Diceros bicornis minor: one gene and its partners. The protein of the gene in region 1 purifies or fractionates together with the protein of each later gene. This does not show direct contact. Links are inferred from orthologs where the notes say so. Each region holds a gene or a part of one and is shown in the gene's direction. Other genes may lie near its edges. The genes, in order: FUS, HNRNPM, SNRNP200 and CTR9.

The links.
Region 2: the proteins of FUS (region 1) and HNRNPM purify together in Homo sapiens (affinity purification with mass spectrometry; 4 studies listed by BioGRID and IntAct, with this or other methods). This does not show direct contact. The link is inferred for Diceros bicornis minor from reciprocal best matches to the Homo sapiens genes FUS and HNRNPM.
Region 3: the proteins of FUS (region 1) and SNRNP200 purify together in Homo sapiens (affinity purification with mass spectrometry; 3 studies listed by BioGRID and IntAct, with this or other methods). This does not show direct contact. The link is inferred for Diceros bicornis minor from reciprocal best matches to the Homo sapiens genes FUS and SNRNP200.
Region 4: the proteins of FUS (region 1) and CTR9 purify together in Homo sapiens (affinity purification with mass spectrometry; 3 studies listed by BioGRID and IntAct, with this or other methods). This does not show direct contact. The link is inferred for Diceros bicornis minor from reciprocal best matches to the Homo sapiens genes FUS and CTR9.

What each region holds. Positions count from the first base shown.
Region 1 is NC_080765.1:20,888,100-20,895,785, reverse strand, and holds the start of FUS (RNA-binding protein FUS), read left to right. Parts: upstream 1-4,668; 5' UTR 4,669-4,735; coding exon 4,736-4,748; intron 4,749-6,366; coding exon 6,367-6,391; intron 6,392-6,480; coding exon 6,481-6,635; intron 6,636-7,388; coding exon 7,389-7,533; intron 7,534-7,686. UniProt on the Homo sapiens protein: DNA/RNA-binding protein that plays a role in various cellular processes such as transcription regulation, RNA splicing, RNA transport, DNA repair and damage response. Binds to ssRNA containing the consensus sequence 5'-AGGUAA-3'.
Region 2 is NW_026691615.1:283,835-291,360, reverse strand, and holds the start of HNRNPM (heterogeneous nuclear ribonucleoprotein M), read left to right. Parts: upstream 1-4,507; 5' UTR 4,508-4,528; coding exon 4,529-4,641; intron 4,642-7,526. Other genes in the region: E3 ubiquitin-protein ligase MARCHF2, read left to right, coding at 748-906. UniProt on the Homo sapiens protein: Pre-mRNA binding protein in vivo, binds avidly to poly(G) and poly(U) RNA homopolymers in vitro. Involved in splicing.
Region 3 is NC_080779.1:16,207,426-16,214,309, forward strand, and holds the start of SNRNP200 (U5 small nuclear ribonucleoprotein 200 kDa helicase), read left to right. Parts: upstream 1-3,879; 5' UTR 3,880-3,959; coding exon 3,960-4,004; intron 4,005-4,534; coding exon 4,535-4,698; intron 4,699-6,088; coding exon 6,089-6,260; intron 6,261-6,884. UniProt on the Homo sapiens protein: Catalyzes the ATP-dependent unwinding of U4/U6 RNA duplices, an essential step in the assembly of a catalytically active spliceosome. Plays a role in pre-mRNA splicing as a core component of precatalytic, catalytic and postcatalytic spliceosomal complexes.
Region 4 is NC_080746.1:69,242,669-69,250,351, forward strand, and holds the start of CTR9 (RNA polymerase-associated protein CTR9 homolog), read left to right. Parts: upstream 1-4,675; 5' UTR 4,676-4,800; coding exon 4,801-4,845; intron 4,846-6,061; coding exon 6,062-6,160; intron 6,161-7,683. UniProt on the Homo sapiens protein: Component of the PAF1 complex (PAF1C) which has multiple functions during transcription by RNA polymerase II and is implicated in regulation of development and maintenance of embryonic stem cell pluripotency.

The sequences.
Region 1 (7,686 bases):
GTCCCACATATAAAATAGAGGAAGATGGGCACAGATGTTAGCTCAGGGCCAATCTTCCTCAGGAAAAAGAGGATTAGCAATGGATGTTAGCTCAGGGCTAATCTTCCTCACCAAAAAAAAAAAAAAAAAGGAATTAACTGGCCCCAAATGCCAAAAGTGCTGAGATTGAGAAACCTTGCTGTATAATAATTAAGTCAACCAGACCCTCTCTTGATGGGCACTTAGGCAGTTTCTAATGTTTTGATATATAGGCAGTGCTGCAATGGCAATGATCCACTTTAGATAGTTTAAGCAGAAAGGGATTATGATAGGTGGTTACCAAATTTCTGAGATGGTCAAGAGTCAAGCTTGGATGCTTCCCAGCCAGTAATACATACCAGGCCAAGGGTCCAACAACACCTTGGTACTTTCTTTCTTTCTTTGTTTTTTTGTGATGAAGACCAGCCTGGAGCCAACATCCATGCCAATCCTCCTCTTTTTGCTGAGGAAGACTGGCTCTGAGCTAACATCTATTGCCAATCCTCCTCCTTTTTTTCCCCGAAGCCCCAGTAGACAGCTGCATGTCACAGTTGCACATCCCTCCAGCTGCTGTATGTGGGATGCAGCCCCAGCATGGCCGGACAAGCAGTGCGTCGGCGCGCGCCCGGGTTCGGTAGCGGAGCGCGCGCACTTAACCACCAAGCCATGGGGCGGGCCCTTGGTACTTTTCTAATGGAAATTCCAGTGCTGTTGCCTCAGTCCATTGATGTTAATGATACTAAGGATGTTATAACCTCCACCAAAGTTACCCATGAAGAACCAAAGGCTTGGGCTGCTATGCTGGCCAGAACATGTGAATTTTCCACCAATAGTTGCTGCCTCCAATCTCATGTAATGCATCTGCTTGACAAAATTGGGCTGGAGATGATCCAGAGACAGGCCTGGAACTCAGGAGGGTCATGGCTGGGTGTACGCATCCAGGAGCTGAAGGCATGATGTGGATGAGATTAGACTGTCTAGAGTCTTTAACCTGGAGTCCCCACTAGGGGTCTGAGGATAGCAGTCAGGGGGTCACAGATTTGGACAGGGAAACATTACATGGCAATTTTCACTAACTGCCAATTGACATCTAGCATTTTTCTCAATATGATGACTGTAGGCAATAAATCACAACAGTTTCTGGGTCTTGGTCACTGACAGAAATCTTAGAAATTGTACCACATTGCACTTGTTGTAGGTACCTGAAAACATTTTTTTATTCCACTCTACTTCAAAATTAAGATAGCTATGGAAAAAAGGAAAAAAAAAACTATTAGAAAACAGAAAAAAATTAAGATAGTTATTACACTATCAGATCTGTGTACTGGATCACAAAGATCTTTTTAAGAAATAGTTGATAACTATTTCCATTGGATTTCTTTGTATTCTTACAAAGTTTGTTTTATGCATTTACAAATATTATTCTAAGAAGGGGTCCACATTATCATTAAACTCTGATACAAAAAGAGGTTAAGGATCCATGATCTGGGAACAGATCACAAATCTGAATGCCTTCAAGGGCCAGCTGGAGGCCTGAAAACCAGGGCCTGCTTTGTTTTCCTACATTTGAAGACAAGAAATATTTTCTCTTGCTTTTAACTCGAAGAAAAACTGCATTCAACTCCTGATATAAATGACAATCGACACTCTCCCACTAGAGAAACATTAGGGAGTGAGGGAGACTGTGGCAAGCTGCAAGCACATGCCCCAGCAGCCTCCTGCTCCAGCTGACCCCTGCCCTCTGGAAAAGTAGGCCCAGGGTGGCCAGAGCCTCTAATTTTCAAGAAAAGCCAGAAGTTTGGATTTTTCCCCTATATTTAGTATTGGCAACTAGTTAATTAAAAACAACGTGCTGGCTACACAAAACCTGTCTGCAGGCTGCATCTTACACCAGGTCATAGTTGGGGCTTTGGGTCTTGAGGGAGAAGCGAAGAAGGCTGAAGACAGAACTCTGGAGGGCCCTGCTGTCTGTAGGGTGAGCAGAGGAGGACACTGCAGGGGAAGGAGACAGAGGGACAGTGGGAAAGGTGCGAGGGCTGGGAGCAGGGATGTCAAGTAAGGAGACTTTTAAGGTGAAGTGAGAGGTCCCTGTGTGATGTGACTCAGGAGAGGTCCACTGAGAGAGATAAGCCTGGAGAAACGGTCACTTGATGAGGTCACAGTATAAACCTGTCACTCCCTGCACTCTGCCCATGAGTGCCTTTCCCTACCCCTGCCTTTGTCTTTGCCATTCCTTCCACCTGTTACACCTTCCCTCTCTCACCACTTGGTGAACTATTACTTATCCTGCAAGGGCTGCTTCAGTGTCACCATCTCTCCTTCCTCTTCTGTGGTTGTCTACTTAATGGATGACTTGCTCTCCTCACAGAGTTCCCAGATTCCTTGATTCCATGTCACAGCACTCACCACATTTGATTCAAACATACTTTGGGGTCCGTGTGTCTCACTCACATCTCATCCACTGGCTATAAGGTCCTGCGGTTCAGGGACTGGATCTTTTTTATCCTCCTCTCTCTACGTCTGCCCCATGCTTGGCACACACTATGCAGTGCTCAAGCAATGTTTGCTGAAGCACAGGGGTCAAGAGCAGGAACTCTGAGCCAGGCTGCCTGGGTTGGGACTCTGGCTTTGCTGCTTTCTGTGTAGCCCTGGGGATAGCTTATGATCTTTCTGTGCCTATTGTAAGTTATGATCAAAGACTCAGAACACTGCTTTATACTTAGTAAGCCTTATCAAAGTGTTAAGCTATTATAAATGTGTTATATATAACATATAAATATCATTATTAAGTGTTAGTTTTGGGGGCCGGCCCGGTGGCGCAGTGGTTAAGTGCACGTGATCTGCTTTGGCGGCCCGGGGTTCCCAGGTTCGGATTCCGGGCATGCACCGACGCACTGCTTGTCAAACCATGCTGTGGCGGCGTCCCATATAAAGTAGACGAAGATGGGCACGAATGTTGGCCCAGGGCCAGTCTTCCTCAGCACAAAAAGAGGAGGATTGGCATCGGATGTTAGCTCAGGGGTAATCTTCCTCACACACACACACAAAAAGTTAGCTTTGTTATTAAGTTCCTTCAGATGTCTGTTTTGCACACTAATGCATCCTCAGTGCCCAGAACAGTGCCTGGTACACTACAGGTGCTTAATAAATATTTGTAGAATGAATGAATGAAGGAATGATGGACTTCCCTTTGCCCTCACTCCACAGTCACACTGCCCTCCCAATGAGGGTGGGGCGAGTGACAGGGTATTCAAGGGCCATCAGGGGTTTAGTAGAAGTTTGTGGGCAGGCCTAGGGCCTAGACCTTAATTGTTTCTCTAGGAAAACATGTCAAACCTACAAAGGAACTACTGGAACCGAGGTCAAAGTTAAGTTGGGAAAGAAAATCTGCATGGCATGTGTACCAGGAATAACCTCCTTTGTCTTGTTTTATTCAATACTCTCAAATTGCCTTCTCCAGGCAAGGCTGATTAGACTGCAAGTTGCAAGTTAATTTGAACTCCACTTTTTGTCCTCGCTCTCACAGGGAGTGAACAGGCTTCAGAACACTGCCAGGTGTTCATATAACCAACAAAAGGAGTGTTTTGCAGCCACACAGACCTGGATTCGAATCAGATCTGACCCTCAGCTGCTCTATAATCATGGGTTGCACTTGGCCTCTCTGAGTCTCACTTCTCTTATCTATAAAAGAGATACATTTCCTTTCCTTAAAAGATTGTGATGGGAAAGCAATTAATTATGCATTTTGAAACCACTTAAGCCATATGCAAATAGTTATTACTGGATCTCCATATTGGTTCCTTGGTAGTGCTTTAGAACAATAAAAAGTAGCTCCTTATCTGTAAAAGGCTAGGAGACCCCTAACCTAATCTCAACGCTCTCTGAGGTCCAGAGGGCCTGGGCTTTCCCCTTCCATCGCCAGTCAGGGTCAAAGTCACGAGGGTTTGGGAGGGCGATCAGTGCTGGGCCAGACGAGGATCCAGGGATCTGGGCTAAACTCCATGCTTTCTTTCAGGTCAGACGTCACGATTTACAAACCCTGGTATGGACTAAGGAAATGAGACCCTGAAAGACTATGAAGTGAAAACCAAGGCCCAGGGAGAGAGAGAGAGAGAGAGGGTCGGTGTGTGTTGTCGGGGGAGGAACTTTAGAGCCAGAAAGGGAGCTTGGCGGCCGGAAGGACGACACGTCCTGTGTACTGCGAGGGCAACGGAGCGCAGGATCTCGCCATCCGGAGTGAAAGTGGGGCCCAGTGAAAGGGTCCAGCCAGAGGAATTTCGGTTCCCGCCTGGCGCCTCCCAGCTTTGACTACAGTTGGGTCCGCAGACGCCCTGGGCCCCTCGCCCCGCCCCCAGAGGGTAATGAGACCGTACCATTATGCCTTTATAGGGGTAGAGGTGAATAGCAGGCTAGTCCTGCAGAGTGAATCCCAGTTCTTTATCAGAGAAAACATGATTTTATATATTATTTTCATGATTCTCAGTTAATATGTTTCCCTTCTGCCTGCTCAGACCCTGTATACTCCCTGAAGAGTGGTAGGACTCCAGCCATGCTTCCCCCTTTTCCTAGCCGCACTTGGTGCATTCCTCCGCGGTACGTAGGCGGGAGGCGTACATAAACCTCGACGCAGGAGGCGGGGCTGGTCAGTCCTCGAGGCGTCGGTGCTCCGTGGTGTTGGAATCTTGTTGCTTGTTGGCCTGTGCGCGCGTGCGCGGACATGGCCTCAAACGGTATGTAAAGGCACGAGGCGGCGGTGGCGCGCCGGCCCGGGGCCTCGTTCTCTCCCAGCTGGGCTTTTGTTTTTCGGTGGGACCCGGGCAGTGATCGCGTGTAGGGTCTTCTCGCACCACGGTGGCGGGAAGCAACAGAGAGGGGTGGAAAGGGGAGGCTGATGTCGCCATTTTGTTTCGCTCCTCCGGCGCCTTGCGCGGGGCAGGAGGTCTTGCCTTCGCAGTGCCTTTACTGGAGGTGAGGGTCGAGAGGGACGCTTCTGGGTGATTTGATACGTGAGACACGGACGGAAATGCTCCGTCCCCGTAGCCGTTTTTTCCCTTCGGTCCTAGCCCGGCGTTCGGGCCCGCTTTGTCGCAGTGCTGCATCCGGGCACTCGGTGCGCGCACGCGCTCTGCTGGCCCCTCCCCCCTTTCTCGCGGCCCGAACTCCCTCCCGCCTCGTGTTGGCGCTGCTTTTTGTCGCGAGACCCTCCGCTGGCGACTCTGCGCTGCGCGTCCGGTGTGGGCCTCGCCCGCCGGGGTCCCTCGGGAAGGGGCGGGACCGCCGGGTTCCCGCCTCGGTTGCCACGCGGCCGCGGGCGGAGGCTCGGGATCGGGGCCGCGCGCCCGCTTAACGGCTGTGGGGGCGTCTAACGGGGTTGGGGACTCGGCCCGAGGATTTTCCCGCCTAAATTTCCTCTTTCTGAGGTGGGAACCGAAAGAACGGCTGCCCGAGGCCACACCCTCTCCCGGTCCTCTGGCCCTTTCCTGCGGGGGAAGCGCCTGGTTTCCTGTACTCAGGGGATGCGTTGATCTGGTTAGTGCGTCCTCAGTGTGGCGTTTTAAAAGCACTCCCGCTGCATTTGGTTTGCTGTCTCCTCACAGCTCCGAGGAAGGCAGGGTAGATGAGGAGAGGGGATTGGAGCCGCAGGGCTGAGGACTCGAGGACCAGTTAACTGCTGCCTCCTGGGGCGAGCACTTTGATGATTTGTCATTTGTGGTCCGAGGGCTCTTTTCTCTTGGTTACCTGGCTTTGCACTGAAAGCCCACTTTGCCGCTTTTCAAGATTAGGCAGAGGGTGAAGAAGTTTGAGACATTCTGTTCTTTGGGTCTCGATTGCGAGAGTGGAGGCCACATTTCGAACACTGCTGCCTCCAGCTTGAGTTAAAACCTGTCCCACTTAAGTAGCTCTGGGACTTTAGCTTGATTCTTGGTGATACTTTCTTCATAGAGTGGGTGTGAAACTGAAATGTGTGTGAATTTGTGCCATTCCTGACATCAGTTGAGTTTGCAGAAAATTGTAGATGTCCACCAAGATTCTTGTTTTTTTCCAGTAGTAGTTAAGGCCTCTTGGTGTCTGCAGAAATTTGCTTTTTCTTTGACTCTTTTTCAGAGTCAAGTACGAAAACTTGACTCTGATCTGCCAGCTTGCCCCTCCTCTCAACTAGTGTTTCAGGAGAGAATTTCTGCCCTTCTTGCAACATGGTCTTGTTGGTTGATTTCTTACCTGGAGGCCCCAGGGCTTAAATTGAGGAATTTTGCCCTATTGTTTTTTCAGGGATGGCTGAAGGTAATGTAATTGTATTATTGTTGCTTTCTTTTTTTGAAAAAAATAATTGTATTTTTCTTTTTGCAGATTATACCCAACAAGCAACCCAAAGGTGAGAGTCATTTCTGGGCTTTCGGGGTTTGTAGAGGTCAAGGGTGGCTAGGGTATCTTTTCCTAATTACACTGTTTCTGTTTCTTCAGCTATGGGGCCTACCCCACCCAGCCTGGGCAAGGCTACTCCCAGCAGAGCAGTCAGCCCTATGGACAGCAGAGTTACAGTGGTTACGGTCAGTCAGCAGACACTTCAGGCTATGGCCAGAGCAGCTATGGTTCTTCTTATGGACAGACCCAGAACAGTGAGTCTCTTTTAGTGGGTCACCCCCCCCCTTCCTTCTCCTCCTGAATGTTGCTTTTCTTAAACCTGAGCAATGCTGAAATGTTGGAACTGTCCTGTGTTTCTTTTCCCTTAACTGGTCTGTAACTCTTAAAACTCTTTGGAGTCTGAGTCCTTTCAAACAAAAATGCATACTGGTTTGTAATTCTCTTTATTTTCTTGAGTCCTTATTTTTCTTTTAATGCTGCCCTTTTCCCCATTTCCCTTTAGCGTGAAAGTGAAACGTGGGGGAGAGTATTCCCTAAGGGGAGAAAGTTTTAGATTTTTGGTGCTTACAGGGAGAAAATGATTTGCTTGAAGATGTTTGAAGTCACACTACCAAATATCATGTGATACACAAGGAGGTGGAATTTGCCCTGAGGTCTTGCAGTGTAAATAATGTGGGTTCTATGTGTACTGCACACATCTGAGCAGGTTAAAATGCTGTTAATGAGTAGGGATCTTTTGGGCTGTGATTAGTCGTGCGTGGTCCTGGAGACTCGCTTTGGGGTGGGTATGGTGAGATCGGAAGTCCAAAGTTGATAGAAGTTGGAACATTAGCCTTAGGTAGAAGAGAAGGGTAACTTTATGAATTGCAAGATTCTAAGCAGCTTCTGAGAGGCGAACTTTTCAAGTATGGGTAGCATTAGATAGTAAATAATATTTTCTTCAACCCATTCCCTGCCTTTTCTCTTTCTACATAGCTTTTGTGGTTTCCTTTCTCTTTTCCTTATAGCAGGCTATGGAACTCAGTCAGCTCCCCAAGGATATGGCTCAGCTGGTGGCTATGGTAGTAGCCAGAGTTCTCAGTCGTCTTACGGGCAGCAGTCCTCCTACCCTGGCTATGGCCAGCAACCGGCTCCTAGCAGCACCTCGGGAAGGTAAGGAGTTGTGGGGAGAGGCCTGAAAGATTAAGGGTGAATTGATAAGGAATGATAATGTGACCAGCAATAGGAGCAATCATGAGGAGTAATGGGGAGGGGGGTGGTCTTTCTTGGGTACAGACAATGGGACGTACCAAAAGCGAAAGGAAG
Region 2 (7,526 bases), on another chromosome or scaffold:
ACATGGACACGTCATCATCACCCAGAGTCCACAGTTGACATGAGGGGTCATTCTTGGTGCTGTACATTCTATGGGTTTGGACAAGTGTGTAATGACATGTGTCCACCATTATAGTATCATACAGAGCGGTTTCACTGTACTAAAAATCTTTGGCTCTCTGCCTATTTATCCCTCCCTCCCCCAGCCCCTGGCAGCCACCAATTTTTTTACTGTCTCCATAGTTCTGCCTTTTCCAGAATGTCACAGGGTTGGAATCATCCATTACGTAGCCTTTTCAGAGCAGCTTCTTTCACTTAGTGATATGCATTTAAGCTTCCTCCATGCCTTTTCATGGCTTGAGAGCTCATTTCTCCTTAGCACTGACTAATATTCCACTGTCTGGGTGTCCCTCAGTTTATTTATCCATTCGCCGACTGAAGGACATCTTGGTGGCTTCCACGTATTGGCAATGATGTGACCCATTGACAATGAGCCCCTTCTGAGGGGCTGCGTTGCTTCACTCCCGCCCTCTGAGAGACAGAAAGGGGGTCCCTTGCTCCCTGCTGTAGACCCCCTCACCTTTGCAGGGCCCCGAGTGCTGGTGGGAGCTGCCCCAGGACAGTGATGGGTGCGTGTGCACAGTCTGTATGAGAAGGGCCTGGACGTTGGCTCTGCTTCTGGAAGCATCCAGGGGCCCAGTTTTCCTCTCTTGGGGGTGGAGGTCGGCCGGCTGGCCTTCGCACCCACCCCTGTGCTGCTGCCCCGCAGGTCTCCTTCCGCTACCATTGCCAACTGTACTCCGAGTGGAGAAGGACCAACCAGAAAGTGCGCCTGAAGATCCAGGATGTGGATGGCCCCGAGGGCCCCCAGCCCTCCCTGCTGGCAGCCGGACTCCTGAAGAAGGTGGCAGAGGAGACGCCTGTGTGAAGGCCAGGCTGGCAGGGCCAGCGGCAGCTGGCGATGCCCTGGCGTTTGGAGGGACGGAAACTGCCCGACTCTTCCTGCACGGCCAGAACGCTTTTTAGGCCAAGAGACACCGAGCAGAGCCGATTCTGTGATCCCGTGTGAAGATACTTTCAGACTGTTTTGCACACGGTTGTACCCGAGGAGGTGGACGTGGTCCTGAGCTTCGGACGGATCAGGCACCCTGATCTCATTCTGAGGTCCACTCGGCCCCTCCGGGGCCAGCAGCTGTGGCCATGGGCGAGCCGAGGGTGTCCATCGGGCCGGAAGGTTCCACAAGCTTCTTGCGCTTCTCCACACCTGGCAGGCTCGCTTTCCCGGCACCCTTGACTTCATCAAGTTGCACCGTGTTTCAAAAACCCACCCCGAATGAATAAAAGGAGCCCTTGCTGGACAAAACGGACTTGTCAGTTACGTTTCTGAACCAAGGCCTCAAGTGAGGGACCTGGGACCCCAGGGCAGCCGGGGACCACAAACAGGTGAAAAAAACAACAACAGAGGCCCTCTGCTGGTTTTGAGGGATCTGTTATGAAACACACCGGAAGAAGCAAAGTCTGAGTTTTCAAGTGAAAAGCAGGTAGCAGGGTTATATAATAAATGGTTTAAAATCGCTATGCATAAGGAGAACAGTTTCCACTTACTTTGCATCTCCAGATGCCACGCTGGTGTACTTACTAATCACTAACGTCCACACTTCTCGAGGGTTCCTCAGTTCTGAGCCTGCACAGGCATCCTCTCTCTGCCTTTTAGACCATCCTTGAGGGGAGGAATGGCTGCTGCCTCCATTTTACGGATGAGAAGACTGGGGCCCAGAGCAAGGAAGCCTCTGTCTAAGGTTGCACAGCTCTAGGAAGGAGAGTTGGGGTTGACCTTGGGTCTTCGTGGGCCTAGTGCTGAGCTCTAAGCTTGCCTTCCAGGAGGACTCAGGAAAAGCAGCAGAATATGGTTGTGCTAATAACCACATGTACTTCTTGAGCACTTTCTGAGCTTTTCACGTGGAAGGGTTCTCTGCATTGGGCCGCATTTCATACTCAGAGCAGCCCTGAAAGGTGGGTTCTGGACTTCTCTTATTAATCCCATTTGCACATAAGCAAACTGAGGCTCAGAGCAGTGGGGTCGCTCACCCAAGATCACACCTCCCTGACGGACCTAGCACAGTGTCTGGAATGTTCTATTGTTTTCAGCATGAAGCCCTGTCTGGTATGTGGTTCACCCACGGAGTAAAAAAACCCTTTCCACCCCAGCGTAGAAGGGCCAGAGGCAGCCAGCCTGGCCACGGGAATGGAGGGAACAGTAAAGGGCACAGGCCTGGAGGCTGGAACTTGTGTGGCCTGTAGGAGGAGCAGTGTGGCAGACGTGATTGCTGGAGCAGCGAGACTGAGGGGCAGGAGAGAGGCAGTTAGAAAGACGAGCAGGGCTTTGTAGGCATCTGGGGTCTGCAGAAACCCAGGACCTTATCCAAGCGCAATCGCTCTGCTGGCGCTCAGGGGCCCTTCTGGCATCTGCATCTTCTCTCTCTACACAGGCCCAGCACCCACCTCTCTCAGGCCAATTTTGGATTGTGGTGCCCCTGGAGGTGATGCAAAGAGGCCCCAGGACATGCCATTGTGAAAAGAGCTGTTTCCTTTGCAAATCTCTTCTAATACTTTCAATTACATCAAGGAGAAAGTTGTAGGTTGGGCTAGACTGTCTTAAATGACCCTTAACCTAAGGGAGGAGAGAACAAGCCTCAGGCTCAGAGCCTTTGGCAGCATGCACAACTGAATTCACACTTGAATAGCATCATCTTCTTATTTATTTTTTACAGTTAGCTGTTTATAGCAAGTTTTCATATACTCAATTTACATATATTTGCATATATTTACATGCAATGTAAAACACAATATTAAAACATGCGTCTTTAAAGGATAAGAAGGTGTGTCAGTTAAAGGAAAATGTGAAGTGTGAAGGAAATAACAGTTCAAGAGATAGCAGAACCCAGGATCTGGGCACTGTTGGTTTAAGTCAACCAGCCTGTAGGAGCCTAGCCTGGAAGAGTTGGTCTCCACAACCAGGGCCTGATTGTCCCTGACCTCCTGTCACACCCACCGAGGGAGGAGGGATCAGAGAGAGAGGTGGCTTCTTGTCCCTAACGCTTTGCATTGGGACTCCTCCCTGATTCTGACAGACTGCCGTGGCCTCTTCCGCCACTTCTGAGCCCTGCTGGGCGAGGGAATTCAGAAGTTCATGAGGCTCCTTCTGCCTCAGGGCCCCTCCAGTCTAGGAGAGGTCTAACGGGGAGGAAGGTAAACTGAGACAGATTCCATTGGGGCCATGGGAGAAGATTTTAATAGGTATGCAAGGGCGATTTTAACAGAGATTTCAGGAGGGGGCATGGGAGGAGGGAGGGGCTTGACGATGGGCGAGAGAAGGGAATTCTGGGAGGCAGGTGAGTTTGGGAAGAGCTGGAAATGTGGGAACGGAGCTGGAAAGAGGGTGGGGCACAGCCTTCATGTCAGGCTGGACTACGGGATGGATTTATTCTCTGGGCCTGGAGTTCTCAACCCTGGGTCAGAATCACCAGGCAGAATGAAGCAGCTGGGAGAGTGTGGTGAATATTCCCCCAGAGCCTGATGAAATGTAGTCATTCTTTGAGGGGTGGGGGGGGGGTACCTCTTTCCCTTTGTAAGCCTAGAGCGAGTTTGGTGGTTAGATGGGAACTTCTGCAAGATTCGGTGAAGCATTTCAAAGTTCCAGAGACATCAGAGAGAGGGGCTGCTGCTGGGGAAGGGAGCCTGAGGCCTCAGAACGCGCCCCTGGGCTCTGGCCTCTTTCCAGGCCACGTGGCTGCCCCAGGACACAGCCTGTAACAGTCCTTAAAACCAGTCTGGGGACAGAGCCAAGCCCTTAGGCAAAGGGACCCAGCCAGGATCAGGCAGGAAGGAGGCCCAGTTAAGTTTTAATGGGATCAGTTGGCCTGTAGCTCGTTTCTTCCATCGTGTTTGGATCTTGCTGCTTCATTCACTCAAGAAACATCCGTGAGCGCATACCAAGACCCCAGCGATGCGTTTTGCTTGTTGGTTGATGGGTTCAGAGGCCATGGGATCTGCACCCAGGAGGTCCCGGGGTGGTGGGGAGCCAGGTCGGACAGAGCCCAGATATTCCTGGTGCAGGATACTTGCTTAGAGAGACAGAATTTTGCACACCAGTTCCACTGCCTGGCCCGTCCGCGTCCTGCCCTCCTGCCTGGCTAACTCCTTTATATTCTTAGTAAACAGAACTTTCTGCCCCTCTGCCGCAGCTCTGATTACCGAAAACTGGGAGTGACGAGGTCCGGGTGTGGGGTCAGTAGATCCTTCCCGTGCCAAACCTCAAGAACCGGTGGAGTATTCAGAAGGCGCCCAACACGAGTTTGTTGCGGGGATGAATGGATAACAGCGGCCGGTCTGCGCCTGCGCGCGACGGGGGCGTGGCCCGGGGCGGGCGGGGACCAGGCGGGAGCAGGCCGCGGCGCGCGCAGGCGTTACTGGTCGCGCCGGGTCACGTGAGTGCGCAGGCGCAGTGCTGCGCAGCCGGCTCCCTCACACAAAGCCCAGACGCGGAGAAAATGGCGGCAGGGGTCGAAGCGGCGGCCGAGGTGGCGGCGACAGAGCCCAAAATGGAGGAGGAGAGCGGCGCGCCCGGCGTGCCGAGCGGCAACGGGGCTCCGGGCCCGAAGGGGTGAGTATCCCACGGCTCCGCGTCCCGGGCCGGCCGCCTTCGCGGCGGCGCCGTTAGGTCTGTTGGAGGCCTCCCCCCGGCGCGGCCTCAGCCCGGGCCTTTCCCGCGGGGCCTGCCCGGGGTGGGGGCGGCCGGGGCCGCCGAGGGGCCCGGGGGCGCCGCAAGGCTCGCTCCCTCCGTCCTCCTCGGCCCTGGCCCAGCTCCGCGGGTCCCTCCAGGCCGGGTCCGAGCCCCACGCCGAGGCCTCGGGCCCGGCCTCTGCGCTCGGGGCTGATGGCACGGGCCCCGGAGCCGGAGAGGCCCGACGCCCCGGGCCGCTGGCCTGTCGGGTGACCTTGGGCGCGTGGTTTCACCCCCCGCCCCCCGTATCGCCCGGGGCCTCAGTTTCCCGCCCCGTAAACTGGGGGGAAGGGAAGGGAAGCGAGGGCGCGCGCGGGGCCTCGCGCGTGCTCGGCCCGGTAAACGGCGGCGGAGGCGGGTGGGAGCCGGGCAGGACCGCGAGGCCGGCCGGAGCGCCCCCGCGTCCCCTCCCCTCCCCCGCCCCGCCCGGCCCGGCCGGAACCGCTCCACGCCGGGGCCGCGCGCGAGGCCCCCGCCGGCTCCCCAGGTGCGCGGGAGGTGTCTGTGCAGGGATCGGACCTGCGCTCCCCCAAACAAAGAGGAGGAGAAAAAAAGCAGAGAAACAGCATTTTCCGTGTTCCCGGGGGAGATTTTCCATCCTCAGGCGGGCTCGCCCACTTCCAGGCTCCGTCACCATTTCGAGCCTTGCTTGGGCCTCCGTCTCTGCTCCTTGGCTGTTCAAGTGTCCTCAAAGCTTTAGAGCATCGTCTTGTGTCCGCACTCGTTCTGATGACAGTCACCTGGAAGGAAGATGCGGAGGGACGTTTGGGCTCCCACCGGCACCCGTGGGGGGAGGAGAGGGGGAGGCTGGGCACACGTGATTTCCCACTAATTTTTTTTTTTTAATTGTGGTAACGTATGTGGAACATAACATTTACAGTTTTAAAACCATTTTTAAGGGTACGGTTCAGCGGCATTAAGTGCGTTCAGTGTTGTGCGACCATCACCCCTGTCCATGTCCAGAACTTTTTCATCATCTCAGACTGCAGCCATTAAACAGTAACTTCCGATTTCCCCCTGTCACCAGCTCCTGGATACTTCTGTTATTCGTTATGTCTCTTATGAATATGCTTTCCCACAAATTTCTAATGTGCATCCCTAGAGTTTGTGGGGATTAGAAGTGAATGTAGTTAAAGCGCTTTATGTTACCGAGCTTTCGCTAGGTGACTAGCTGTGTTGTTGTCAAACCTTCTCTCCTTAGGTGGGGAGGAACAAAATACCATGATTCCTGGTCCTCGGAAATCAAAAGAATGGCATCCCAGAAGTATTCCCAGCACTTGACTCTCGAAAACTCTGGAAAAGGATGCCTTCGTTTAGACTTTTTTCATCATCTGTCTAGGGGAGCCTAGGAGGATTTCTGAGGGCCGTTTTTGGATGCCTTTAAGTTACATTTATTTCCTGTATTTTTTCTTTCAAAGCAGTTATCACAGGATGGAGTGCTGCTAAAACGTGCTAGGTGAGAAGTTGAATTAGCTATAGTTTGTAGCATCTGGGGTATGTTTTTCAAATTTCCCATTTTCCACTGTCCATTTTCAAATAGTCATTTTGTGACGGGTTTATTTGACAAATGTGACACGTGGACCGTTAGAAAGAACCTGAAGGTTTTAGAGATAAAATAGCTCTTGTTGGAAAGAACCTTAGAGTCTAGGGCTGCTTAACAGAAGTTCTTTCAGGAAGCTAGCAACACTTAGATGTATTTCATAGGGTCGGTGGAAACTTTGTGTATTTTTTTTTTTTTTGCATTAGGAAGCTCTTGAGAATCAAGCCCATGCCCAGAGGAGAGGCCAGCTGATAATTTTGTAGTGAGGTAATTATGCTGTGATAGAAGTAAAGGAGTTACCTGGTAGGGAGCAGCTCCCCTCCCCACAACTGAACCCCCTGGGGGCAGGGTGGGGAAGAGGGGGTTTCTTCAGGAGGAGGGGGATGAAAGAGGATGATTGTGGAGAGGGGAGAAGAGAGCTGCCCACGACTAGGGACTTTGGTATATGCTTTGCATATTTATAGAGAACTGATGCTGCTGTAGCACTTAACGCTGGAACAGTGAGGGCCAACGCTGAAACAGTGGGGGCCGGGGGCCGGCTGGTGGGCAGTGGATTCCAGGCTGAGGAATTTAGATTTTTATCTTGAAAGCCTCTGAGGGATGGAAAGTGAGTGAAACTTGGTTCTTCTGACCTTTGTCTCCACCAGGAGTGGAGTGTGCTGTAAGCTGAAAAGGCAGTGAGCCTGCAGGCTTGATGGAGGACCCCAGAGAGGAAGCTTGTTTTGCAGTGACTTTTCTCCGGGGTGTGAGAGGAGGATTTGTTTTATTTTGATGAGAAATCTGTTCCATTTAAAGTCAGTCAAGATTCAGAGTTAGAGTATATTTAGTCAGGGAGAAAAAGCATTCATTCTGGGGAATATATAGTTTCAGGTTTGATTTTTTTTTTTTTTTAAAGGTTGAACCATATACTTAAAATCAGTGATGTAACCTACTTCCAAACTAATCTTGTGGCTGAATCAGAAAACAGAGATGGATTAGTTAGTTTAAAAATAAAAATTTATATTTAGTGTAGGTTGCCGGGGAGGTAATGTTAGTGTTAACTCTGTTTTATAACTGAGAAATTTTTTTTTTAAACAATTGAGAAAAGTCAGGTTAAGGAAATTGACCCAGAGTCTGGGGGAGGCTGTGTTGACTCCACTGCCACCCTGGTAACCTCTCACTAAACAGTCACTTGAAGTGTTTTATTTAAATCAGAATCTCTGTGCTTTGCAATGATTTGAGTGTT
Region 3 (6,884 bases), on another chromosome or scaffold:
CTAACCTCTAGCTCCACCTCCTGCAATAGCCTCCCAGCCACACTCCCTGTGTCTGGTTCTGTTCCCCACCCCCTTCCATCTTACACAGCACTGTGAAAATCACCTTCCTGAAGCCCACCTCTGTGAGGAAGCCCCTGTACAGGGTCTGGAATGGGATGGCCTGGCTTTGAGGCTGGTGAGGCCAGGCAAGTCAGTTATCTTCCCTGCCCCCTCCTCACTGCCCATTTTCCCTACGTAATGCCTCAAGATTCTGTAATCCTTGAAGATGGGTTTTTGAGACATTAGTCACCCGTCTTCCAATTTGCCGGCTAATCTAATCTAATTTGACTTCCTTTCTCCATCTCTAACTTGTTGTGATTAATTGGCTCAGACTGCAGCTAGCAGAGCAATCCCGTTGCTTGGTAACAATAGGGCTTTATGAGGATTAAATAAAATAATGTATGCTAAGGTGGTAGCTTGCAAATGCTTGCCACATGATAAACAGTCAGTTTTTGCTTAATCTAAATGTTGGTCCCTCTAATCAAATACCTGCTGTAAAGCTGCAACAAACAAGCAAAACCCTCCAAACCAGACACCTGCTGTGGCTTCTTATTGTCTCCTAGGATAAAGTAAAAACTCTTTACAATGGCATTATTTTTTCAAGAGATTCTAAACATATCTATCCAAATTATATCACGTTGTTCCATTCCTACCATTTGCCCTGCACTCAGCTGAACTGAGCTCTTAACAGTTCCTGGGACATGCTTCTGTCTTCCCACCTTCATGCTTTTGCTTTTTCTGTATCCCCCTGAAATCTCCCCCACCCTCTGCCTCTACTGAAATCCTAGCCAGCCTTTACATTACACCTGCAAAGCCTCACCTGGTCTCCTGAGTCAGCAGTGACTTCTCTGATCTCCACAGTGCCCCCTTGTGGCACTGACAGCATTCTGCTTTTTAATAGCAGTTATTTGTATGTTTCATTTCTCCTGCAAGACTGTAACTTCTCAGGGGTTCTAATTGGGTCTTGTTTCTCTCTGACTCTCTAAAATTGCTCACTGAGTTTAGTGCACATATAAATATTTGAGAGGTAACTAAATGAAGTGACAGGTGTTAAGGTACAGAAATTCAGGGTCCAGGAGCCTGAGTAACCCTGGGTCCAGGTCTGGGGCTAGGGAGGACTGAATTCTGAAGGTCATCTTTTGGAGAGAGGCAGCGCAAGGGGGCACACGTAGACCGGAACAAAGCTAAAGCTGAGCCCAACTTGGTAGGTAACTAAAGTTCCCCCAGGGATCTGTGCCTGTCAGGGTGCTCCCAGGTCCTTCCCCTTCCTGGGGATAATTCTGTTTAAAAATTTTTTTAATAACTTTACTGAGATATAATTTACGTACCATACAATTCTTCCATTTAAAATGTACAGTTCAATGATTTTTTTTTTTTTTTTGCTGAGGAAGACTGGCCCTGGGCTAACATCCGTGCCCATCTTCCTCCACTTTATATGGGATGCCGCCACAGAATGGCTTGACAAGCGGTGCATCGATGCGCGCCCAGGATCCAAACCCCGGGCCGCCGCAGCAGAGCACACGCACTTAAACACTACGCCACCGGGCCGCCCAGGGAATTTTCCTTTTTTCCCTGCTTCACAGATTTGCCCACGGCCCAGGCTTGACTGTGAACACGAGTACCACTCCTACAGAACTGCAGAGCAGAAATCCCTTTTGTGTCTGGTGGGTGAACCACAGCATGGCCACGGAATGAAAGTCAGTCTTGAGGGTTCAGATTTAAATAAGCTTCAGTGAGCCCCACCTTGAATTAGACACTTCATTGGTGCTTTTAAACACACCACCACATTTAATCACAACAGTCCTATGAGGAAAATCTTATTGCCTCAATTTTAAGGATGACAGAATGACGCTCAGCCAGAGAGACCAATGAGCTACCTCAAAGTCACACAGTCACTGAGGAGCAGAGCTGCCACAAGGACTTGACTGCCCCTTGAAGGCCCAGTTAGATATACAACAACACAGTCAGGGCTGCAAACGCCACGCCTACAGGGGCCAGGCAGGTAACACCAAGGAGTGAAGGGGCCTGGTATCAGAAAATAGGAGCAGTGGCAGGGGCATGTGTATCCTCTAAGAGTGGCAGTTTCTGATTAGCACGGAGCAAGTACGCCAGGTAGTAATGAGGTTCTCATGTGGCCAGTGTTCTGATTTCTCCATAGATGCTGGAAATCTAGATGTTGAGTGAACCATCCCATTTTTAAATAAGGAGCCAAGCTGGAACAAAAATAAATAAATAAAAAACACCCCTGCAGGTCAAATTTGGCCCAGGAGACTGCTATTGAGGATGAATTCTTTGGCTTAATAACCAACCTCCCTTTCATTCAACTTTCAAAAGCAAACAGGCTATTAATAAGGTAACCATTCAGCTTTTAGTTGCCATTCCACAGGCGAAAAGTGGTTGACTGGGGTTGGCCCGGTGGCCTAATGGTTCAGTTTGCTGGCACTCTGCTTCGGTGGCTTGGGGTTCACCGGTTCAGATCCTGGGCGTGGACCTATGCACTGCTCATCAAGTTGTGCTGTGGCAGCGTCCCACATACAAAATGGAGGAAGATTGGCACAGATGTTAGCTCAGAGCCAATCTTCTTCACAAAAAAAAAAAAAGGTTGATTGGAGTGGGAGGGCAGGGGTGCCTCCTGGCCCCAGGGCTCTGTCGCTGGGGAAGAAATTAAGTCACTATCAATTAAGTCACTGTCTTCAAGAAGTTGGGCCTGCCAGAAGGGTGGCTACCTTCACCAAAGTTCCTGGGGCCATGGAGGGGGCCGTGAATGTGGCAAGACCTTGGGAGCAAATAGGGGGCCCCGGCCGTCCCAAAACAAGGGTCTTGAAAGCATGCGCTTTAGGTGGGACAGGTAGGGGACAGAGTTTTCTTTAAATTGTTAAATATATGAGAAACCCACAGGAAGATACCAGTCATTCTTGCTCTCTCTCTCTCTCTCTCACACACACACACACAGTTAAAGCACTTGCTGGTGCTTTGCTTTCCTCATCCAGAAATGGGGCTAATCAGCCCCTCCTTGCCTGCGTAGCTCACCGTTAGTAGAGTCAGAGGAAGAAGTGGGTAGAAAAGCGCTCGGGATAGAATAGGGGGCTAAGTAGGCCTATGGTTCATTGTGACAAGAGATTTTCACATATCGAGGTATATGGGGTTAACTTTGGGTTCAAAACTGATTTGGCTGGAACCAAAGAAGCCTGACTTGTGGCCTATCACACACACTTTGTACATCTGCTTTAAGCTTTAAAGAACGCACTCTCACGATAACAATGCGTACTTCCCCTCCCAGGCCCTGGTAACGCAGGTGTTACAGGTGTTAGTCCCTTTCCTGACATCAGGGTCCTGTCCACCCGCTACTTTGCAACTGACTTCTTTGAAACTTTGATAAATATGTACCCTTGGGGTTGTTTAATGTATGTTCTTTGTCTCAAAACGTACTGAAAACCATGCTTGTCCAGGACGCTTTCTTCCTTTGTAGAAAAGGCCTCCTGGGGTTATCATCCTCACGCTGGCTCAAGTAAAACTCCCCTTACTTCTCCTATACATAATAAGGTTATTGGCTATTTTGCATTGACAGTTACGATGTGACTATGCTCCCGGGGGCCAAAGTGCCCAGCGTGGCCAGAAACACACTGACACGATGCGGGGGGGTGGGGGTGCGCGGTCGGCTGCCCCAGGATTCAGGGACCTTGGTGCGACAGCCCCGCCGACCCCGCTCAGAAGGCCGCGGGGAACTGTCGCGCGCTCGCTGAGACACGCCCCGCCCACACTTCCGGCGCGCGACCCGGAAGCGGAAGGGAGCCCGTTTTTTCCCTCCTTCCGGTGCGTGTGTGCTGCGTCCGTCCGGCCCGGCAGGAGCGTAGAGCCGGAGCGGTTTGTAGCGTGCGGCGGGGAGAGTGGAGCTCTGAGACCCCGGAGCAGCCGCCGCCATGGCGGATGTGACCGCCCGTAGCCTGCAGTACGAGTACAAGGCGGTGCGTGTGGGCTCGGGGAGGACTCCGGTTAGGGAGCCCAGCGGGCAGCGGGAGGCTGAGGGAGTCTCAGTCTGAAGGCCTACAGGAGAACCGCCAAAGCGGAGGGGAAATCAGATCGGGCCGAAGCGGGGGTACACGAGGTGGGGGTGTATGAGTAACCCCGCCGGGGTCTGGGGCGGGCGGGATGGGCTAAGAGCTCTGCTAGCAGTGTTTGTTCCCTGTCCCCTCAGCCTTATACCCGCCCACTTCCACACGTCACCCCCAACATGCTCGCCGCTTTTCCCAGCTATGGGTTGTTATGGGCAGTGTTAGCAGCGAGGATCGTTCAGCTGATTTGACTGCCCTTTGCTCATGCGCGATTATACGATGCTATTTCTTCTTAAGGAAGACATCTTTTTATTCCGGCTAGTGATTATCAGCACTTAGTGGCTCCGATTCTTGCTTCTTTTGTTATCATCAGCTGGCATCCTTGTGATGTGTGAATTGTCCCTGCTTATGTCAGAGCTTCGATAATCTTGTGATCTTTTCAGAACTCGAATCTTGTCCTCCAAGCTGACCGCTCTCTCATTGACCGGACCCGCCGGGATGAACCCACAGGAGAGGTGCTGTCCCTGGTGGGGAAGCTGGAGGGCACCCGGATGGGAGATAAGGCTCAACGGACCAAACCACAGATGCAGGAGGAAAGAAGAGCCAAGTGAGTACCAAGGGGAAAATGACTCTTCTTCAGATCCAAAGTCCATCTTCCCTTGAGCATTTGAGCAGTGTTTTGCTTGGTGCAAGAGGAGACATCAGTGGCATTAAAACAACTGAGTAAAGGTACAAACAGAACATGAGATTTAAAAGGTTCTTTGGCTTTATCAAGCGTACCTAAAGTGGAAAACAACTTTTAGACCTTTTTCTAACATGTGTTTCTGGTCCACAGAGACATCTTAATTTTCTTCCCGATATTTTCAAGACCCTTGCTGTTCCTTTGTCTCAGTAACTCTTTTTTTCTTCAATTACTAATTTCCCACCCCTACTTCTTTCCTCTCCTGTTATCCACTTTCTACTTTTGTTATTAAACTGACATTAAAGCATCCATAGCGTGAATGACAGGTGGGTTTTTTTGTTTGCTTTTTTTAACTTTTTGGGAGATTTATTTCAAAACTTAATTTTTGAACTTTATCTCACCATTATCTTTTGATTCTGATCATCTCTGTGTCTTCCTCCTTTCCCATGATGAAGTCTCAAAAATTTGTAGGCACAATTTTGATTAAAGTAGTTATGTTTGAAATGAGTTAATACATCATTTGTTGTCCACTTTGCAGAGTATGACTTCTTTTCCAGTTTTGTTATAATTTGTTGGGAATCAATGGTAGTAGATTCCTTTGGAGCTTCAGTTTCTCTGGCTAGAAAATGTGTCAAGAGTGAAAAACTAATCAAAATCCGATTGTATAATATTGTCATATGAAGTAAAAAGAGTTGTCTTTTTTATTTTTATTTTGTTTATTTATTTATTTTTAATTTTTATTTATTTATTTTTTACCCCAAAGCCCCAGTAGATAGTTGTATGTCATAGCTGCACAGCCTTCTAGTTGCTGTATGTGGGACGCGGCCTCAGCATGGCCGGAGAAGCGGTGTGTCGGTGTGCGCCTGGGATCCGAACCCGGGTCGCCAGCAGCGGAGCGCACGCACTTAACCACCAAGCCACGGGGCTGGCCCTACTTATTTTTTTTTTATTGAGGTAACATTGGTAAGGGTTGTCTTTTTTATTTTTATTTTGTTTGTTATTTATTTTTTTTATTGAGGTAACATTGGTAAGGGTTGTCTTTTTTAAATGAATGAGGAAGATGTCTCATTGTAATGTATAGTGCATCTAGTGAGAGAATGACAGAGGATTCCCTTTCTGTTACTGTGTTTCCATTAAAAAATACTCCTGCTAGTGACTAAGGCCAAAGGGAGTTATTTGCTGAGGTACAGATTCATGTTTTTAAATGCTACCTGTGTGCCATGAAGCTGAGAAGAAGAGGAGAATGGGCTTGATTTCGTCTTACCTTTGGGACAGAAGGTTCTGTCTGTTCAACATCACACTATGTGTCCATTAGGCGAAGAAAGCGTGATGAGGACCGTCATGACATCAACAAGATGAAGGGTTATACTCTGCTCTCGGAGGGCATTGATGAGATGGTGGGCATCATCTATAAGCCCAAGACTAAAGAGACCCGAGAGACCTATGAGGTGCTGCTCAGTTTCATCCAGGCTGCCCTCGGGGACCAGGTGAGACAGCCAGAGGGTGAAACCACGTTTTTGGAGAGGGAGAGAGTCACAACTGGGAGGCACCGGAAGAGCCTTGTCTGTGGATTTTCCTGTGTGAGCCATACCCATTTGCAGAAGTGGCTGTTTACTGAGCACTTAACTTTATGTGGGGTAGAGCTTTGTGTGTCTCCTCTCTTTCAGTCTTCACATCAGCTCTGTGACTAGGTGCTATTAATATTCATTTTCTGTTTTACAGAAGAAAAATGTGAGGCAAAGAATAGTTAAGTAATTTTCCCAAGTCACAGACGTAGTATTTGGCAGAGCTGGGATGTGAGCCCAGGTAGTCTGTACCCAGAATCTGTGCTCTTAACCATTATACATGTGTAATTAGATTAAGGACCTTTATGAATCTCTGAGAGGCTCTGGTGAGGGGGATGCTAGAGGAGGTGAGGACAAAGAATTGCCAAAAGTTGACAGACTAGAAGAAGACTGCGGAGTGTCTCTACCACCTGGAGAAATGTGGCCGACTGTTGTGGAAGCTGTGTCCTTCTGCTTCCTAAGACCACCTACCTAGTCTTTTTTAAAACAGAAGGCTCGTTCTTCAATGGTGTGACTCTTGGTGGCATTTTTTATTAACATGAATGA
Region 4 (7,683 bases), on another chromosome or scaffold:
TTCACCTGCAAAGACTTATTGACAGGTGCTGTGAAGGGCTGAATTGTGTCCTCTCAAAATTCATATATTGTAGTCCTAACCACCAGTACCACAGAATGTGACTGTATTTAGGGATAGAATCTTAAAAGAGGTGATTAAGTTAAAATGAGGTCATTAGGGTGGGTCCTAATCCAATATGACTGGTATCCTCACAAGAGGAAATTAGAACACAGACACACACTGAGGGAAGACCACGTGAAGACATAGGGAGAAGAGGGCCGTCTGCAAGCTGAGGAAAGAGGTCTCGGAAGAAACCAACTCTGCTAACACCTTGATCTCAGACTTCGAGCCTCCAGACTTGCGAGAAAATAAATTTCTGTTGTTTAAGCCACCCAGTCTGTGGTACTTTGTTATGGTTGCCCTGGCTTATTGATACAGCTTCCTACTTTTTCTTAATAATGTATACAAACTACTTAAAACACTTCCCTTTGCTCCTGATAAAAGATATCTAATTTAACATCTCAAATATTCTTTGTTAAAATTAAATATTCTTTATTCAATTTTAATAATTAGCATATTTTATCAACATATAAAATAGTTCATTCTTCAGTGAGCTAAATGTATGTATTTATCAACTCTATGACTGACCACAATATCAACAACAGAAAAGTAAAGAATCTTGGCTATCTATTTTGAATACACACTTAAAATCCACACTGACCAGGGGCCTGCCCCGTGGCTTAGTGGTTAAGTGTGCGCGCTCCGCTGCTGGCAGCCCCGGTTCGGATCCCGGGCGCACACAGACGCACCGCTTCTCCGGCCATGCTGAGGCCGCGTCCCACATACAGCAACTAGAAGGATGTGCAGCTATGACATACAACTATCTACTGGGGGCTTTGGGGTGAAAATAAATAAATAAAAATAAATCTTAAAAAAAAAAAAATCCACACTGACCAAATACACACTCACTGCTTTACGTTGATCTGGTGCACTCCGACCCAACATGGAGCAGGGCATTTTGTGAACAGACATTGCACACTCGTGCCAGCTGAAATAAAATCTTTGTGCTGCAAAACTGGATCTACAGCTTAAAAATGTCTGATTTAATCAGTATCTACTGGAGTCAGGGGAAAACAAAAAACTGCCTGTGTCGAGAGTTGCACTTTAAGTCCCAATTGTTGCCAGGTGATTTTCTCTCCGACCCGTCCTCTGATTCCTTGCAGACTCTCTTCCCTGCCTGCCTGCTGTGTGCTAGAATTCCTCAGAACTTGGTCCTGGCCCTTCTCTTGTCACTCTATGCTCTCTCTAGAGTCTCTCATCTGATCCCACAGTTTTAAATTTCATCTATATGCCGGCGGCTCTCAGACTTATTTCTCCAGCTCAGAAACTGTCTTCCGAGCTCCAGATCTGTATGTCTGACTGCCTGTCTGATATCTGTCTCAGAGATACCAGAGACAGGGCAAACAACACATCTGAAAACCCAGCTCACGACCTACCCTTGCCCGAATGTTCTTCTCCACTAGTCATTCCTATCTTGGAAAATGACACTTCATTCACACAGTTGTTCACGCAAAACCTGGAAGTTCTTCTAGACACTACTTTTTCAATGCTGCCCATATTTAATGCATTAGCGAGCCCTAGTGATTAAGATTATATATATATATATTTAAGGTAGTGGAGGTGGAGACATATTCTACATATCCCTATATATTCTATATACTCTATATCTATATAGATATTCTGTATATCTCTCCAGTAGTTTCCTAAGTGGTCTGCCCACATCCTCTCAAACACTGCCCAATCTATTCTCCACAATGTAGCCAGAACAATCTTTTAAAACCACAAAACCAATTCTCTCTCTCTCTCACATACACATACTCATTGATACATACACGTCAGCTCAAACTTCTCAGTTTCATTGCACCTAAGATAAAATCCAAACTCCTCAACACATCCTGTGTCAAAAGAAGTCTCAGAGACAAAAGCATTTAGAAAAATAGTTTCCTTAGAAAAACACTTGCAGGGGCTGGCCCGGTGGCCTAGTGGTTAAGTTCACTCGTTCCGCTTCGGCAGCCTGAGGTTTGCCTGTTCAGATCCTGGGCGTGGACCTACTAACCTCTCATCAAGCCATGCTGAGGCAGCATCCCACATAGAAGAACTAGAAGAATCTACAACAAGGATATACAACTATGTACTGGCGCTTTAGGGAGAAAAAAGAAAAAGAGGAAGATTGGCAACAGATATTAGCTCAGGGCCAAGCCTCCTCCTCAAAAAAAAAAAACCTTGCAAAAGTTTATAAGTGAATTTAGGCTTTAAAAGAACTAGTTCATCAAACACACAACTCGAAGTTATAAGGTTTATAGTTAGTTGGTTCATGATGGAAAAAGAGAAATTTTCTTCTATGATTGCCATATTCCCCCAAATTATTGCATATCTTCAAACTCATAAAAGTCAGCGATTAAATTGTTTTTGTTAGGGAGTCAGTAATGTGGGAAATGCTGAAGGTTTCATTCACTTTGGAGACTATAGCTGATGTGACACTGTTCTTTTTTGGTTTACCTCAGTGCGTGAAGTGTTTTGTTTTTCCTTTAACTGTGGAATGCGATGTGTACACTTACTCATTTTGGAAGCAGGGTAAGGTGCCAGTTTTGCTTTACATGGATAAATCTGGGCATGATTTGACTACTTATGTCTTCAGCCTCAACTCATGCTATTCTCCTCCTCATTTTTTACGTTCCAGCCACACGGCCTTCTTTCAGGTTCACAAAGCTTTTCCTCAGTGTGCTATCCCCTCAGTCTGGTAGACACTCCCTATAGCCTTTATCTAGCCAAATTTTACTCATCTTCCAAGTTTCAACTTAAGTGTCATTTCCTCCAAATCCCAGTCTAAATTGGGTCCTCCTATTATTCAATCACAGTGTTCTGCATTAACAGTTAGGATGCCTTTGGCTGCCGGTAACTGAACGACTAATTCACATGTATCGCTAGGGTCTTTAAGGCCAGGGAGGCTCTGGGCATGAGAGTAACACTTAGCATGATGTGTACTTTTGTTTAATGCTCACTTATAAACCTTAAAACGTATTAAAGAGTATTTCCTGGAAATACAGTGCTGTGCTGTCCAATACAGTATCCACTAAATACTTGAGGTTATTGAGCACTTGAAATATGGCTAATGCAACTGAGGAATTGAATTTTAAATTTTATTTAAATTAATTTAAAATTTAAGACCAATAGTTCAGTTATTGGAAAACTTTTACGTGTGTTTGGAAAAATCCAAGTATGTGAATCTATTTTTTCAACTGTAAGTTTTCTGAAATCTAAATAGAGATCCTAGAGTATGTCCAATTAAAATTAAGCAACTGAATTAAGTATGTAAGCAGAAAGTACATACTAGATTTCCAAGACAAAGTATGAAAAAAATGTAAATTCTCTCAATTTTCATATTGATTACATGTTGAAATACTTTGGATATATTGGGTTAAACAAAATATAATACTAAAATTAATTTCATCTACTTTTTACTTTTTTAATGCAGCTACTACAAAATTTTAAATTAGGCAACTAGCATTATGTTTGTATTGGACGGCAAAGCGCCCAACGTTGAAATAGTTACACAACTAAGTTTCCACTTATAGGGTTTTGAAGAAGGTGGGAGGAAAGGCAACATCAAATTGGTACTTTTTAAAGGTGAGTGTGTAACATGTTGAAGCCAAGTTGGAGTTTGGGGCCAGAGTGGATGATGTATTGAGTAAAACAGGAGGCTGTTGCAGTAATCCAGGCAGGAAAGAACGATGTTGGCTTGGGATAGAATGGAGGTGGTGGAGATGAAGAGAAGGAATACATCTGAGAGACACTTAGAGGTAAAACTGACACTGTTTACAAATTTATTTAATCAGATCCTCCTCTGATTCAATCAAAACATTGATTGCAAACTAATTTAATTGTATTCTGTAATTTAATGAAAACAGTAATTAAAACGTATTTAATCAAATTCTATAATTTAACCAAAACATTGATTACAGGTTTAATCAAATTCTTCAACAATTTTGTTAAAATCACAAATCTAGCAGATTCTCACATGCTTCAAAGAAAAAAATAAAACCACACAAAATACATGACCTATCACAATGATTACAGAATTCATAGTAACGTTTATTTAAACGGATCACAAAAGTAGCACAGGTATGATTCGCACACAACAGCTGCTAAACAGGAACCAATGATTGGGTTGAAGAACGATTGGATTATCCGCAGCAATCTTGACAAGAAGACCAGATTGGCCAGCCCACCCCGAGAGGCCAGGTCCGGGCTCGGGGGCGGAGTCGGGCTCGGAGGAGAGGACTGCCGGAATTGGCCAGAGGCCCCACGTCAGTCCGTGGCCAGCCCCGAACCCGCGCCTCATTCGTCGCCCCGTCCCCCTCAGAGCGGGGCGGCCCGCCTTCGGCGCATTTATTCCGGACCGCGCCGGTGCCGGGCTCAGATCCAGAAGCCGCAGGCCCACGGAGCGGTAGACACGCCAACGAAAGCCTCGGAGCCGTCATCCCCAAGACAGAGAAACACCAGAGCCGAGCCGGAGCCCGCAGGCCCCCAGCGGGGAGTACTTCCGGGGCAGGGGGCGGGGCTGCCGGAAGTGGCCGGACGGCGAAGGCTGCTCGTTGTTTAAGCGGCTGACGGAAAGGAGAAGCCGGAGCTCCGGCGGCGCCGCGGGGCCGCAGTCGCCACCGGAGCCCGAGCGGCTGGCAGCGTCTGGAGGAGCCAGAAGCCAGGAGGACCGGCTGCGGAGCGGCGGGGCGAGACACCCGCTCGTCCTCTGGTCTCATCATGTCGCGGGGCTCCATCGAGATTCCCCTCCGGGACACTGACGAGGTGAGTGTCGAGTATGGGGGAGGGCAGGGGCCGTGAACTTGGACGATCTCCTCCTCCCCTTTCTCTCGACTTCGTCTCCGAAGCGGGCGCACCCTCTGCCCGCGGAGTCCGGATCGAAATCTCCGGCCGAAGCTCTGATCGCCTCCTTCCCCAGCCCCTGTGCCCTCCCCGGCTGGGAGCACCGCCTCCCCGCAGCCTCGGGGCACCTCGAGAAGGAGTTCTTGAAAGTTCTCCTCCAGCCTGTTCGTATCTGACAGTAGTCTGCGCTTTCCTGATTCGCGGGCGCAGGGGTGTGAGAGTGCTGGATAACTGTAAAGCACCTCGCAGGTCGCAGAGGTGGGCGCTGATGTCACCGTGGGCTCTCTGCTGCTCTGTCTTTCCCTGGGAATATATAGGATGTCGCCCTTTCTCCCTTAAAAACTCGAGTCTGTCATGCACAGGGTCTGCCACACAAGGCCCCATCAGCGGCATAGAGACCCCAAGATCTGGCCGCTGCTGTGTGCTGATAAAATGAGCCCCCCTCTCCCTGCCCGCCACCTCGTTCATGGTGGCCTGAGGCTTGTCCGAGTAAAGCTCTGAACATTGATGTATTGCTGCTGGATGTCTCATACTCTTATTTTTGTTTGATTGAGATATAATATTGAGATATAATTCACTTGCCGTAAAATCCAGTGGTCTTTAGTAATATTCACAAAGTTGTGTAACCATCACCACTGTCTAATTCCAGAACATTTTCTTACTATTATCTTTGTGCCCACATTTAGGAGTGTCTGTGATACACAAATGCTGCCTCCATGATTCATGTATGCAGTGCCATTCAACTTTGCATTGCTGCTAGGATGGTGCTTCTCAAGTTGTCAGACCTAGCCTCCGAGTCTCTGGGGTGCTTATCTGCACTTTACCTGCATTATATGTTAAGCAGGGTTTTGTTATGTTGTGTTTGAGTAAGCAGAGCTTTTGCAGTGTTTTATAGTTCTAGTGATTCGAGGACAACTAGCAGGATTTGTTTGCTTCTGTGTGCTTTTATTTTAGTAATGCCACATAACCTATTTGTCGTTTGCTCCTTAAACGTTTCTTAACATATTCTTGCTCAGCCGGGTTGAAAGTGAATACAAACCCTGCACGTATCTGTAGTGATGTATAGTCAAGAAAAGCAGCAAAGAAGAAATGTGAATTTAAAAAAGAACTAAGTTAAAACCTACATTTTGTGTTTTAGGTCATTGAACTTGACTTCGATCAGTTACCGGAGGGAGATGAAGTTATCAGTATTCTGAAACAGGAACATACACAGCTGCACATATGGATTGCTTTGGCGGTCAGTGTCCATATAACAAATGTTTTTATATGTTGACTGGGAAAAATATGTGGTTTCTGTTTTCAGATACGCTACTGGCCACCTGGGGTGCATGATAAGTAAATTAATTGTACCATGTGTATGGAAGTTAATTGTATCACTGTTTATGGAATGAAAAGGCCAGTTTCCTAAATGATGTGCTACTCCACTGGTAAATTAGTAGATGTTGGTAAAGGCAAAATTCATTTAAGTTAAATACTATATTGAGTATTTGATTATTTAGTGACTACTCAGTGAGGACTGGCTTATGGTTTATAGATAAGCTGAGAAAAAACAAGGTGCCACGATGTAAACATTGCCACTTGACATTGTTTCCTATGACAATAAAACATTTCCCGTAAAATACTCTAGAAGGTGATTAGGTTCCACGATAACCCACAGAAGTGCTTCTGGATGAAGTTTATCGCGAGATTAAGTTTTTTTTGTCCTGTTTGGTCCCTTCCGTAACATAAACACTACTAGAGATTCCCAGGAAAAGCACCTCAGAGAGCCTAAAATTCTAACACCCTCCACCATCCCCAGCACCAGCTGTGTAATGATGTTTCCTTTTTATGGGAACATTATAGTAAATGCTTGCAGTAGTATATGGTACTATAATCATTATTCCTAAGCAAGTGTACCACAGGTCACTTCCATGGAAGGATACATAGGAGGCTCCTAGTATTGTCTTGAAGGGTCAGAGAAGTAGGCCTGAAATTGGGCTAGTATCCAGTGCTCAAGCCCAACTCGAAGAGTTTCTTAGATGTGGATTTGCAGAAAAGTACTGTCAGTGACAAGCAGTGCCTTCCTGACTTGAAGTGCTAAGTTTTCCTAATCTATGGGGAACAAGCCATTCATGCTTGTCACACATTTTTTTCAAACCAGAAGAGAACTTAGATTTTTTTTTAGTACAAGTGCCTCCTTTGGTAGCACTTATATGAAAATTGGAGTATTGGAGGATTAGCATGGCACCTGTGGTAAAATAAATTGATGAAACATGAGGGCTATAGATTGTTACAGAGGAAAGAGTGTAGACTTTGCAATTCAAGAGGCCTTTTCTCAAATTCCAACTTGGCTGCTAGCTGTGTGACCTTAGACAAATGATCTGCCTTCTGAGCCTGTTTCCTCATCTAAATAGAGGGGTGTTAGTATTCACTTCAAGGGTGGTTGTACAGATTAGAGATAATGTATATGAAGTTCCTGGCATAGTATGTGGCCCATAGTAGGTGGTTAATAAATGATAGATATTTCTTTGATTGTTAATAAATGAAACTGATGTCCAGGGAAGTTATTCCACAGGCCCAAAGTCATAGATAATTTTTGATACATCTAGAACCCAAGTTTTCTGTTCAGAATTATTTATACCTCTCATTATTGCTTTCTCTCTCTTGAGCTCTGATTTAGTTTGAAATTAATTATTATCTGGGTAAGAAGTAAGCTAGAAACATTTGTAAGTGATTATAATTATTTTTAACAACTTTATTAGATAAAATTCACCTATAATG